4 linked regions of the Saccharomyces cerevisiae S288C genome follow. Changing the gene in region 1 together with any one later gene gives a genetic interaction. Each region holds a gene or a part of one and is shown in the gene's direction. Other genes may lie near its edges. The genes, in order: LCB1, AIM22, HGH1 and PAN6.

Region 1 (4,229 bases):
TCGATCAAGCCCAAACAACGTTCCAAAGAGTCTTCCATAGCAGAGCATTCCTCCGAGGGCAAAACAGATGGTTCGCCACCTTCACCACAGGCCATTGGTTCGTAATAGTTATACTGAGTCAATGGGTCAGTGAGGCCATTTCCGATCAAGACGGAGGTTAAGTTGAAGTTTCTGTCCTTGTGAGACAAAATTTCAGAGGCAAAAACAGGGATGTAATGGCCGGCGTAGGATTCCCCAGCGATGTGGAAATCTTGGCCCTTGTTGACGTATTCAGGGAACTGATCGAAGAACAACTCCAAGAAGTTATAGACATCCTTACCAGCGGCGACAGTGTTGGAAACACCTGAGGACCCGGAATACGAGAACCCAACGTTGACAGGCTGGTCAAGGAAGATCACGGTGGCATTGCTGTTCCAAGAGTAAGGGTTCCCGATGGGTTTCAAATCAGGTCCAATGGATGAGGGTCCTAATTCAAAGAACAGCCCGGTTAGTGAAGAACAACCTGGACCCCCGTTCAACCAAAGGATGACCGGATCCTTTGCAGGATCGTTTCTACTTTCAAAAGTCCAAAAGAAGAAATGCTTGTCCTCGTCTTCCACATCCAAGTAACCCGTGTACTGTGTGACATTTGGGTCAATGCCCAGGATTTTAGGGTCCTTAATCTTGTTGACACGAAGCTGATAGTTTTCAATTGCGTCATTCTTGACCACAAAGTCCCAGTCTTTCTTCGTTTTGATTGCTTCAGGGAATTTTGGCTTAGTGGAAGTTTCAAGGCTCATAACCTGGTTTGGGTACAAATGCTCTATTTGGGCCCAAGCGTCCAATACATTGGAGTCCAACTCCTTCAAGAGATGATCCAGGTCGAGGTCCAAACCAAATTTTTCCGCAGCTTGCAGCAAAACGTCCTTATCTAGACCCAACGGTCTTTGCAATGAGATGGCCTTAGCGAGTGTAGTGGACAGGCCTAGTCCACATAGTAAACTGGTGAATGCTTTCATAGCGTATGTATACTTTAAGTTGAGTAGAAAAGAAACAATCTCTAGTGAGTATTCTTTCTCTCTCTCTCTCTTGTCTTGTTAAGACTAGGAGGGAAGACGAAAAGAATTATTTCGGAGCTTTTTTGCTGGCATTCTTATCTCGTGCTTTTATTAGTGGGCCCCTTCTTTGAGACCCCGCGGGTGATATGGCCCCTGTCTCAATGATGGATAAAGTTGTTGGAAGCAATTACCAAGACAATCACAAACGAAGGTTGCTACCGAAGTGTACTGGATGACCAACATCGCTATGATTAAATAAGACTATACATAATAGACAAGGGTGGCGCGGCTCCATTCCCAGGGAGACACAAACACGAGGTAAGTCTCAAAAAACCGAAGTTTCGCTCTAAAACTGCACGTAAAGGTCGTGGTATTGACTACAACCATTGACTGTTACATTGTGTAGAAGAAAGGTCCTCACATACTGCTCTGTCAATATGGCTTCTTGTGCAGAAGGTCAATATGTACTATTTCCATGAACCCACAAAATAAGGGAAAAAAAACACTGGAAATAACCGCCACACATACCGTATAAAAGTACATCTCTTTATACGAGTTACTTACTAGACCCTAACCAATGCCTTCAAAAAACAGGACAGACCCTAAAAACTACCATAAGAGACCTAACATATGTATCATCATATACGGAAATCGATTTCGCGTATTTTTTTTTTTTTGAGGCGCCATGATTTCTTACACGGTTTCTTTTTTTTTTCCTTCTTTCCTTCTTGCTTCTCTGCTAACAAATTTTTCACTCATTCTTTTTTATAGGGGCATATTGCTGCGGTTAACTGTAGTGAACGAAAGTAAGATTGAGAAAATATAGTACTTAAGAAAAAGAAAAGGAAAAATAAAAAAAATTCTTTTCAACATCATCGAGTAGCACAGTATAAGAGCGCTCTAACCTTCTGCCTGGCCTCCAATATACACATTTTGCTCGTGTAGGGTTATTTATCCTTTTTTCTTCCTTCCCACCCAAAAAAAAAAAGCAATGGCACACATCCCAGAGGTTTTACCCAAATCAATACCGATTCCGGCATTTATTGTTACCACCTCATCGTACCTATGGTACTACTTCAATCTGGTGTTGACTCAAATCCCGGGAGGCCAATTCATCGTTTCGTACATCAAGAAATCGCATCATGACGATCCATACAGGACCACGGTTGAGATAGGGCTTATTTTATACGGGATCATCTATTACTTGTCCAAGCCACAACAGAAAAAGAGTCTTCAAGCACAGAAGCCCAACCTATCGCCCCAGGAGATTGACGCGCTAATTGAGGACTGGGAGCCCGAGCCTCTAGTCGACCCTTCTGCCACCGATGAGCAATCGTGGAGGGTGGCCAAAACACCCGTCACCATGGAAATGCCCATTCAGAACCATATTACTATCACCAGAAACAACCTGCAGGAGAAGTATACCAATGTTTTCAATTTGGCCTCGAACAACTTTTTGCAATTGTCCGCTACGGAGCCCGTGAAAGAAGTGGTCAAGACCACTATCAAGAATTACGGTGTGGGCGCCTGTGGTCCCGCCGGGTTCTACGGTAACCAGGACGTTCATTACACGTTGGAATATGATTTAGCACAGTTCTTTGGCACCCAAGGTTCCGTTCTGTACGGGCAAGACTTTTGTGCCGCACCCTCTGTTCTGCCTGCTTTCACAAAGCGTGGTGATGTTATCGTGGCAGACGACCAGGTGTCATTACCAGTGCAAAATGCTCTGCAACTAAGCAGATCCACAGTCTACTACTTCAACCACAACGATATGAATTCGCTAGAATGTTTATTAAACGAGTTGACCGAACAGGAGAAACTTGAGAAACTGCCCGCCATTCCAAGAAAATTTATCGTCACTGAGGGTATTTTCCACAACTCGGGCGATTTAGCTCCGTTGCCTGAGTTGACTAAGCTGAAGAACAAGTACAAGTTCAGACTATTTGTTGACGAAACCTTCTCCATTGGTGTTCTTGGCGCTACGGGCCGTGGGTTGTCAGAGCACTTCAACATGGATCGCGCAACTGCCATTGACATTACCGTTGGGTCCATGGCCACCGCGTTGGGGTCCACCGGTGGTTTTGTCCTGGGTGACAGTGTTATGTGTTTGCACCAGCGTATTGGTTCCAATGCATATTGTTTTTCTGCCTGTTTGCCGGCTTACACCGTCACATCCGTCTCCAAAGTCTTGAAATTGATGGACTCCAACAACGACGCCGTCCAGACGCTGCAAAAACTATCCAAATCTTTGCATGATTCCTTTGCATCTGACGACTCCTTGCGTTCATACGTAATCGTCACGTCCTCTCCAGTGTCTGCTGTCCTACATCTGCAACTGACTCCCGCATATAGGTCTCGCAAGTTCGGATACACCTGCGAACAGCTATTCGAAACCATGTCAGCTTTGCAAAAGAAGTCCCAGACAAACAAATTCATTGAGCCATACGAAGAGGAGGAAAAATTTCTGCAGTCCATAGTAGATCATGCTCTTATTAACTACAACGTTCTCATCACAAGAAACACTATTGTTTTAAAACAGGAGACGCTACCAATTGTCCCTAGCTTGAAAATCTGCTGTAACGCCGCCATGTCCCCAGAGGAACTCAAAAATGCTTGCGAAAGTGTCAAGCAGTCCATCCTTGCCTGTTGCCAAGAATCTAATAAATAAAAATAGAAAGCCAGTATATGCACACGCACATATATATATAAATATTTATACAATAATACAAATAATCGTAACATCATCTCTGTCAAATTGACGTGGTGCACGGCGCCCAGAGAATGCGCTAAAAATTTTCGGATCCGAAATTTTCTTTCCTTTTACCATCGAGGCAAAGCAACCTGTATTATTTATTTGTTTATTTATTAATAGAAAAGAAAGGAGTACTTTCGTGGTACGCTTTCTTGAGCATTTTCGGTTTCACTAGGCAGAGAACTAACACAAGAGACACAGCAAACATCAAACAAGGTTAAAACAGCACACCAAGGCAATATGATGCATTTTAGAAAGAAATCCAGTATCAGTAACACGAGTGATCATGACGGAGCGAACCGTGCCTCAGATGTCAAGATTTCTGAAGATGACAAGGCAAGATTGAAGATGCGTACTGCTTCCGTTGCTGATCCTATTCTAGACGCTGTGCAGGAAGCCCAACCTTTTGAACAAGCTGCTGATACCTTCCACGACAACAT
Region 2 (3,386 bases), on another chromosome or scaffold:
ATTTGACATACTGTTCTATGGCTTTGCTGGTACTTCCAAGTAAATTACATAAATGGTACTCGATGGAATCGGAGTATATTTTGAGGTGATCTACATTAGCTAGCTGAACTACCTCATCAAATAGCCTTTCAGTATCATGATTGGATCCATATGCTGCCTTTAACTTTTCTGAAACGGCATCATCACAGAATTCCTTGAATTTTGACAGCATATTTTTTGCTTCAAAAGCATTTCTAAACATCAATAAGCTAAAGTGTGTCTCAGTTTTGAAATATCTCTCTTTTTCTTCATCATAAGTGTCCTTCCCAATTTCTATGTATTCGCTAATAGACTTCTTGTTCAACAGTAGATGGCTTATAAATAGGTCATTTGCATCGCTGACCCATTCAGGGGAAAATAAAGATGCTAATAATGCATTCCTCGTCAATAGTACCTTAAAATTCTTGAAAGTTTCCAGCCTCGGCCTTAAATTTGATTCCTCACAGTAATATTGTCTGAGAGTTTTCATATAAAAATCTTTGGGGCTCAAGCCCTCTATACTAAAATTGCAGTTAGACATTATACGGAGCATAGGAACTTCCTTCTCTAACATTGTATTCGTTATTGGAAACATATGAATATAGTGATGAATAGTAGCGCTTACAAGGGTGGAAAATTCCCTTCCAAAATGTGACTTCATACATTCGAAAAGTTTGGAATCATAATACTGAAATATCGTTAAGGTCTCAAATCCTAGTTCTTTTCTTATCATGGGATAATTTACCGGCACATACGATATAATAGGACCAACGGCACCCATTACGTACTGAAATAGCTTGTAAAAAGAGGTCCAATTTTTGGGTATAATTTCATAAGAATAGTCGCATCTGGTCAAAAAGCTAAGGACGTGCGCGTCAATTATTAACTTTGCCAATTCATCACAAAATTCTTGAAAACTCAGCACAATTTGGTGTTGATGTAGCAGCTGAAACTTCTTTTGCTTTTCGTCATTCCCATTAAATTCTGAGTTGTAAGGAATGTATGATTTCCTTTGCGTTAATTCACGGCAATTGTTCAACATCTTAGGCATTAGCTTTCTAAATTTAGCGGCCTTTTCTTTATTACACTCCAATTCTTTCACGTCAGTTTCAGTTATAGTTTCAGCTAAAGTAAGGTGAAAAAACTCGTGCAGCTCAGCAATCATCGTTCGATACCTGGGATTTCGCTCATCGTTAAATTTATTGTATAGTCCTAAAGCGTTGCTTGCACTCGTCTCTCTGCTTATAGACTCGTGGAATCCTTCTCTCTTGGAAACGCTCTCATTTATCATTGTTCCTGTGAACCCGTACGAGAATTTATACCAGTAAAAAAGATTGGTGGGTTTAATATCTTGAGGATTCCTTCAAAGTAGTCTTTTAGTGCAAAGATATCGATGATCTTCATTCGCATTGTTCATATTCATCATTACGCAAAGGATAGCTATGCGTTCCGCTTCGTCATACTTAATCAGGAATATTGAACATCCAAAAATCTCCGAGCTCACGTATGTAGAATTTTTGATGAATACAAAAGAAGAAAACACTAGACTTTTCTTTGATGTTTACATTATGTCTATGATGCTAAGTAATTGGGCACTCTCCCCTCGATATGTGGGACAGCGAAACCTCATACATTGCACCACTTTATTTCACACACTTACACGATGGGCAAAAGACGCAGACGATAAATATCATGATATAAACTCAATGTATGAAAACATGTTTACACCTTCAAATGATAACGTTTCAATTTTGCAGGATGAAGGTAAATCTGATTATGATACGACGAAGGCCAGCTCTATGGAAGAAGATATCAGTGCTTTTAATAAAGACTTGTACAATTTCTATAATATTGGATATGCCAAACAGATCATGTCTGCTTCACAATTGGAAAATATAGTAAAGGCAAAGGGCAGATTTGTTATACAAAGTTTATCCACCAGTCCTTATTATAATTTGGCCCTTGAAAACTATGTTTTCAAGAATACACCAAGAGCCAAAAGAGGTCCCGATAATTGCAGACTGTTATTTTACATCAATGATAGGTGCGCCGTTATAGGCAAAAACCAAAATCTGTGGCAGGAAGTAGATCTTGCTAAGCTGAAGAGTAAGAATTTCGAACTACTTAGAAGATTTTCTGGAGGTGGCACTGTACTGCATGATTTGGGCAATGTTAATTATTCATATTTAACATCAAGGGAGAAATTCGAAACAAAGTTTTTCAACAAAATGATAATTAAGTGGTTAAATTCATTGAATCCCGAACTAAGACTAGATTTGAATGAGAGAGGAGATATTATTCAGGACGGGTTTAAAATTAGTGGCAGTGCTTATAAAATTGCCGGTGGCAAAGCATACCATCATGCAACGATGTTGCTTAATGCGGATTTAGAACAGTTTAGCGGCTTATTAGAACCCTCACTACCGAACAATATGGAATGGGAGTCAAGTGGAGTTCATAGTGTAAAATCAAAAATCAAAAATGTTGGTATAATTACTCCTAATCAGTTCATTGCAGTGGTATCCGAGCGTTTTCAGAAAACATTCAAAGTTGACGGCGAAATACCTATATATTACTGTGACGAGTTTAAATCTATAAACGATGAGATTAAAGATGCTATGAACACCTTACAGAGCGAACAATGGAAATATTTCTCGGGGCCTAAATTTTCAGTGAAGATTAAAGATAAAGGCTTAACAATTAAAGTCGAAAAGGGCATGATTTATGATTGTGATAGAAATGATTTAATCGGCTTGGAATTCAAAGGATTTTTGGAGAATATTGACAGTTACACATAACGTTGATGAATATTTCAATTCACTTGTAAATAACGTAGGTAAATATCAAAATTAAAGTCTTTCACCGGAAACTGATTCAGCATATTTCAGCAGACGCGTCCTAGATTCACAGCAAACTTCAATATAAGCGATACATTAGGAGTGTTCGTACTTTAGATCTATAAGAACTATATTTTGTTACGATTCAGCCGTCTCTAAATGTGAACTAAATATTTATACTGTTATTTGAGAAACCGACAGATAGTACTTAATTTTATCGATCATCTAAGAATAGCATCGGTATTGTGGTGACATTTATTGAATTTCTTCCGCTCCAGAATAAAGTTCCTTTTCACTTCAAAAAACTGCCACCAGTAAAGTTGCACCAGTGGTTTTTGAGCATTTTTTGTCAATGTCGCTTAACCGTTCTTGAACTGTATCCTCTTGACGTCGATAAAATCATTTGTAAAAACCAGGCCAAATCATCATTGAATAATTTACACTGTGTCTTCAATGTCGCCATTTGGACCAATAATTATCAAACTGTTCACAATTCACTCAAAGTCCTTTCAGCAACATTCTTATGAAACA
Region 3 (3,336 bases), on another chromosome or scaffold:
TTGTATACGCGGAGAATTAGGCGAAGGAGGTTATGCCACTGTATATCTAGCAGAATCTAGTCAAGGACATCTGCGAGCGTTGAAAGTAGAAAAACCTGCAAGTGTATGGGAATATTACATAATGAGCCAAGTGGAGTTTAGGTTGAGGAAGAGCACAATATTAAAGTCAATAATCAACGCTAGTGCTTTACACTTGTTCCTTGATGAGAGCTACCTTGTTTTAAACTACGCCAGTCAAGGTACGGTCTTGGATTTAATTAATTTACAACGGGAAAAGGCAATTGACGGCAACGGAATAATGGATGAATATTTGTGCATGTTTATCACTGTCGAGCTAATGAAAGTACTTGAAAAGATACATGAAGTGGGAATAATACATGGCGATTTGAAACCAGATAACTGCATGATCAGATTAGAAAAACCAGGCGAACCCCTGGGTGCTCATTATATGCGCAATGGAGAGGATGGCTGGGAAAACAAGGGAATCTATTTAATAGATTTCGGTAGATCATTTGATATGACACTGTTACCACCTGGAACGAAATTCAAATCAAATTGGAAGGCTGATCAGCAAGATTGCTGGGAAATGCGTGCGGGCAAGCCATGGAGTTATGAAGCGGATTATTATGGATTAGCAGGCGTCATACATTCGATGCTTTTTGGAAAATTCATAGAAACAATCCAGCTGCAGAATGGACGATGCAAATTGAAGAACCCATTCAAAAGGTATTGGAAAAAAGAAATATGGGGCGTTATATTTGATTTACTGTTAAATAGCGGTCAAGCTTCCAATCAAGCTTTGCCGATGACTGAAAAGATTGTTGAAATAAGGAATTTGATAGAAAGCCATCTGGAACAGCACGCAGAAAATCACTTAAGAAACGTAATTCTAAGCATTGAAGAGGAGTTATCACATTTTCAATATAAGGGGAAACCGTCAAGGAGATTTTAGTGAATAAATATGCCTTCATCTCCCGCATAGGTGACTTTTTGGTGTCCTGCCAGATTCCATAGCAATGACAACACAACTTCAGGTAGAGCCAATTGTAACATTAATATATAAAAGGTAATATAAAACTAGCAGGTTCTCAGGTTGAGTAAATATATTCTTTTTTAATCTTGACATCTGTCACTTATGGAAAAACAAGTACCAAAAAAATGGCGATAATGTTATGATATTATTTTACTGAAGCTCTTCATACATCGAGTATGTAGCAATTGCTCCACTTGTTACCGCGAAAACTAACAAGAATAAAAAATAGATGTCTTGATTCGCAATTCGCAGTATATTTCATCTAATAGCTGCAGAGCCAATTGGGATGTTACTGGTAGTGCTACCTTTCGATGTGTTCTGTTATCACCCCAGACGATAATTATTATTGTAGATTTTTCCCTATTCTTCCTCGAAGGGCTTTTTCAAATTTTTTTTTTTTTCATTTTTTCATATTGAGCTCTCTCATCTCATCCATCAATTTATGACGCACCTACTCTAATAACGACAAGTTTATTCTTCTTAAAACGGTATCAATTTAATTTAAAAATTAAAAATAGCTCAAAAAAATCAACAAAAAATTGAGTGATGACTTCACAATTGAATGAATTAGTGGAATTTCTGCATTCACCACAACCTGCCGTAAGACAGATTGCCATTGATAATCTAGTTGGATTTAGTGCTGGTCCCACTTCAAAAGTTTTCAAAAATGATAGCTACAGACCCATTAAGGATATAATAAAAATGATCATGGATCCAGAACACGGCACCCGTGTTATTATTCAGCAAGGTGTCACTATATTGGTCAATTTATCTGAAGACAAGTTAGTAAGAAATATTATATTGAGCGATGACAAGAAGTTCTTAAAATTTTTGGTTTGGAAAATTGTCGATTTAACCAATCCAAATGCCGATATAATGTGTATCTTATTAAGCAACTTAGCCAAGGATGACGGCATTCTTGCTGTTCTGAATATCAAAAGGAATTCAAGCGGTGAGGAGGTCGATGATGGTTTGAAGTTAGCAGCTTTAAATAAAGAAGTTTTCAAAAGTTTGAGAGCCATGGATTGTTTAATGGATTGCTTTGTTAAGGGTTATGATAAAAAATTAACAAAATATGCCAGTTTCAATTATTTAGCCTTTTTTTTTGCGGATATCTCGAGGTTTAAATTGGGCAGGATGTATTTTATTGAAGAGCAGGAATACGATGGGGTTGTTCCTATTTCAAAATTGCTAGTATTTACCGAAAAATATGATGCAAAGGTAAGAAGAGAAGGTGTCGCTTCCACAATTAAAAATTCCCTATTTGATTCTGAAACTCATGAAAGGTTACTCAAAGATGAAAAAATAAACTTGTTGCCTTACATCCTGCTACCTATTGCTAGTGCTAAAGATTCTGAAATTGATGAGGAAGATATGTTCAATTTACCAGATGAACTTCAATTATTACCAGAGGACAAGGAAAGAGACCCGATTCCTGCAATTATATGCTGTCATTTAGAAAGTATTCTTTTGCTATGTACAACGCATGCTGGAAGAGAATACTTAAGAGACAAGTCCGTTTATCCACTAGTGAGGGAGCTGCATAAAAACGTTGAGAATGAAGATATTGGTGAATTATGTTACAGAATTGTTAATATGTTAATGAGAGGCGAGCCAGGTGCGGGAGCAGTGGAAGAGATGCCATCAAAGAATGCGGAAGAGGAAGAAGAGGAGGAGAGTGAAGAAGAAGAAGATGACGACGAAGAAGATGAAATTGTCGAAGTGGCCTAGGTCACTTTCAAGGACAGTTCACATAGCATAGAATTGTATAATACAGAAATAACAATATATTAGAGTTTAGTAGAATTCTGAGTCTTTTCTCAAAAAAAAGGCAGAAAAAAAGACTAGATAAAAAAGTATACTTACTGCAACTAAAATGACAGTATAATGTAACTACATAAGATTAAATGGAAAGAAAAAGGAAAGAATGAAAAGAACGAAAACTAAATAACCTATTAAGTACATAACATTATAAACTAACCTACTCTTTCTTTAATTCCATGTGGTCATTGCCAACCTTTCGACACAATTTTTTTACAATGGCAAACATTAGCTTTTTATTCTCTGCGCCAGGATATTTTCTTCTGATGAACTTTCCAAACTCTTTGATATTGACTTTGCCATCACCAATAGCCTCGATGATATCTTTTTCTGTTATTGTAGGCGCTGGAGTTTCTTCCCTTTCTGCCACTGTAGAATTCAAGCCTTCCTCTTGTTTGATTGGCGAAGGCACTGTATTCGATGCATTATTACTACTATCTACAGCTTTTGTCGTCTGTGGATTCCATTCTCCCTCTGGGAAG
Region 4 (3,235 bases), on another chromosome or scaffold:
TTATGTGAACGAATTTTTCAAAACCTAACTTTAGTTCTTGCATCGAAGGCTCATAATTATCCTCAAGTTTCAAAAAGCTTTTGTAAGACTCTGTAAAATAATCAATTAACAGTTTCTCCACCATTAGCTCATATCTTTCTTGTCTTTGGTCCTGTTCGTCCAAAGTCTTTAAAGGCTGGCTCAGAATTGTTATTTCTTGTGTATTTTGATTAATTAATGAACGATCTACTTTATTCAAGCACATATCCAGTTTAATATTTGTTCGTACCATCCAATGCAACATGCCAAGAAATTTGTGCCAATTAGAGCCACCTACAGCCGAAATTTGTGATTTATTTATTGACTCTAAAAACGGATAACGCAGATTTTTTAAAATTTGATAGATCTCATTCTCGATAGACTTAGTAAAGCCGTAACCTGGATCGAGTCTTAAATATAACCACTTGAAAATGATAATAAACCCCTTTTGAGTGGGTTGTTTTAGAAATTTTATTGAAATGGGATGATTTGTTTCAATATCAAATTTATTCTTTTTCAAATAGTCATAAATCTCCTCTTGAATAGCGCTTTGGAAGTTTTTGTCTCTTAGTGGCCTTGGATCTCTATTGCTCAGATGTTGCTGCAGGCTGCCAAGTTGATTTATTGATAATCTGCTGACGCTGTTTCTACTGTTGGATTTGTCATTTAGAGCCAATGCTGTACCATTTGTACCTCCTGCAACCGTGCTTCTTGTCCTCTTATTTTTATTTATGCCTCCTGTGGGAATGCCAGTCCCGCTTATTGTATTCCTGGCAATACTCTTATTGATCATGTCGGTTAGACCTTGATTCGTGCTGTTTCTTCTCCTCAATTGTGACGATGTTGCAGTTGGTATTTGGGACGTAAACCGATGAGGGTCCATGTGATGTAGCACATGTTGATCAGTACTTGTTGAGCTTTGCATTTATAGAAACGGGTATCTCTTATGGAATATATTATAGTACACCCTAACGTTTAAAGAAAGGAACGTCAGTTATTTTTCTTGTTCCGTTTCAATTTTTTTTACAGGGACGATTCTACCTCTCCTGTGAATGTATTCCAATTATTTCTACCATTTTTGGTGTTGTTTGTTTATTTTAGGAAATATTAGTTTTGTGACTATATCATTCCATACGTTATCTTTTTTTCTTTTGGCACTTTCAGTATGGGTAACCCTTGAAATGGTATTTTAACCGCTAATCGCAATAGACTGCTTACATCTTTAACAATACTTAACGGGGCTCTCAACCAGCCCATAATCACGATATTATTTCAATGTTCAGTTATAACCATCTGGCACATAGTACGGTGAATTTCTCTTCAATCCTAACATCAGTAATGCTTTTCGGACCTCCAACCGTCTTTCCTTTGCATTCACAGTCTTTCCCTGACAAGAGCCCTGCTACTATTGACCCTACAGAGACCTTCTTGTGGCGAATTGTTGCTCTTTTTACTTTCTTACTGATGTAAGTTAATTAGAAGGAGTGATATCTGTAAGAGTGGAAATTAAGCGCCCATCTTTTTTATAATGTTGGCTGAACAGATATCCGGGTAAATGTTACTTTAACGAGTTTTTTTCTTTTGTCATATTTTCCAACAAGAGATTAATGAACATTTCTCGATGTAGCGTACATATTTATGTGTACAAGAAGTGGTGTGTGTTGATACTGCACTGTTTTATACAAGTTTTTATACTGCATATCCATATAGAATTGATGAAAATCTTCCATACTGTCGAAGAAGTTGTTCAATGGAGAACACAGGAGCTGAGGGAAACTAGATTTAGAGAAACTATTGGGTTCGTTCCCACAATGGGTTGCCTGCATTCGGGTCACGCTAGTTTGATCTCGCAGTCTGTGAAGGAAAACACCTATACTGTGGTCAGTATATTTGTAAATCCCTCCCAGTTTGCGCCAACGGAAGATCTAGATAACTATCCTCGAACTTTGCCAGACGACATCAAATTGCTTGAGTCGTTGAAGGTGGATGTTCTATTTGCTCCTAATGCACACGTGATGTATCCACAGGGAATTCCGCTCGACATAGAAGAGCAGAAAGGCCCTTTTGTTAGTGTTCTTGGATTGAGTGAAAAATTAGAGGGGAAGACGAGACCTAACTTCTTTAGGGGCGTGGCAACTGTCGTGACTAAACTATTCAATATCGTTATGGCGGATGTGGCTTATTTTGGGCAGAAGGACATTCAACAGTTCATTGTTTTACAGTGTATGGTGGACGAACTGTTTGTTAATACAAGGCTACAAATGATGCCTATTGTAAGAAACAATAATGGACTGGCTCTGAGTAGTAGAAACAAATATCTTTGTCCAGAGTCTTTAAAGATCTCTGAAAACCTTTACCGCGGGCTGAAAGCTGCGGAAAATGCTATTAGGAGACTAGCACCAGGGGGACGTCTCTCCAGATCAGAAATCATCGATACTGTGACTCAAATATGGGCACCCTACGTTGATTCCCACGATTTCAAAATCGACTATGTTTCCTTAGCAGATTTTAAGACTCTTGATGAACTCTCCGATGTTGAAAACACCAGCGAACAGCAGCCAATAGTCATTAGTTGTGCTGTATACGTGACTGACCGCGAAAAACCCGATACGGTCGTCAGACTAATAGATAACATCGTTATTTAAACTAGGTGATTGGGCCTTCCCGTGTCTGTGTTGCAGTATATACCACTCTTATACAGTATGCACGATATTCTTTTAAACCAACAACGGGATGATAGATTTCACGCTTGATGACTTTTTTTTTAGACGGCTGAAGGGACGACATCCCCATCGCTCAAAACACAAATATGGAAAGGACAAATCGTCTTTCACAGTTTGCATAGTAAAAGCAAAGTTTATACTACTTCAGCAAAGTTGAAGTTGTTTGGCACTTGTTTCGTGCTTTCTCAAATATCTTAGATCACCGTCTGTCTAGAGCATATATCTATTGTTTGACGCACCCCTTTTACAAAAAAAAAAAAAAGAAACAGATCTATTAAGTAATAAAAAAGTTATTTAGGAAATAAGGTGCAGTAAGCTTCCTGAGGCATAATCATTATACTTTTAAAATCTATATTTTTGGGTTATTGTTGAAATATTTTCTTACAAAGCCCATTTCTCGTTTTTGACAATTTTTCTTATCAGTTGTGACTTCTCTTATCGATAAGCAATATTGAAGTCCTAATCACAAAAGCAAAAAAAATCTGCCAGGAACA

What was found.
Region 2: mutations in LCB1 (region 1) and AIM22 together harm fitness more than expected from each alone (negative genetic interaction), as found in Saccharomyces cerevisiae (2 studies listed by BioGRID).
Region 3: mutations in LCB1 (region 1) and HGH1 together harm fitness more than expected from each alone (negative genetic interaction), as found in Saccharomyces cerevisiae (2 studies listed by BioGRID).
Region 4: mutations in LCB1 (region 1) and PAN6 together harm fitness more than expected from each alone (negative genetic interaction), as found in Saccharomyces cerevisiae (2 studies listed by BioGRID).

The regions. Positions count from the first base shown.
Region 1 is NC_001145.3:858,691-862,919, reverse strand, and holds LCB1 (serine C-palmitoyltransferase LCB1), read left to right. Parts: upstream 1-2,028; coding exon 2,029-3,705; downstream 3,706-4,229. Other genes in the region: carboxypeptidase C PRC1, read right to left, coding at 1-998; GSR1 (Gsr1p), read left to right, coding at 4,030-4,229. UniProt on the Saccharomyces cerevisiae protein: Component of serine palmitoyltransferase (SPT), which catalyzes the committed step in the synthesis of sphingolipids, the condensation of serine with palmitoyl CoA to form the long chain base 3-ketosphinganine.
Region 2 is NC_001142.9:350,800-354,185, forward strand, and holds AIM22 (putative lipoate--protein ligase), read left to right. Parts: upstream 1-1,586; coding exon 1,587-2,816; downstream 2,817-3,386. Other genes in the region: cullin RTT101, read right to left, coding at 1-1,309. UniProt on the Saccharomyces cerevisiae protein: Catalyzes both the ATP-dependent activation of exogenously supplied lipoate to lipoyl-AMP and the transfer of the activated lipoyl onto the lipoyl domains of lipoate-dependent enzymes.
Region 3 is NC_001139.9:869,660-872,995, reverse strand, and holds HGH1 (Hgh1p), read left to right. Parts: upstream 1-1,579; coding exon 1,580-2,764; downstream 2,765-3,336. Other genes in the region: protein kinase BUB1, read left to right, coding at 1-952; transcription factor IIF subunit TFG1, read right to left, coding at 3,015-3,336.
Region 4 is NC_001141.2:75,782-79,016, reverse strand, and holds PAN6 (pantoate--beta-alanine ligase PAN6), read left to right. Parts: upstream 1-1,733; coding exon 1,734-2,663; downstream 2,664-3,235. Other genes in the region: kinetochore-associated Ndc80 complex subunit NDC80, read right to left, coding at 1-943. UniProt on the Saccharomyces cerevisiae protein: Required for pantothenic acid biosynthesis.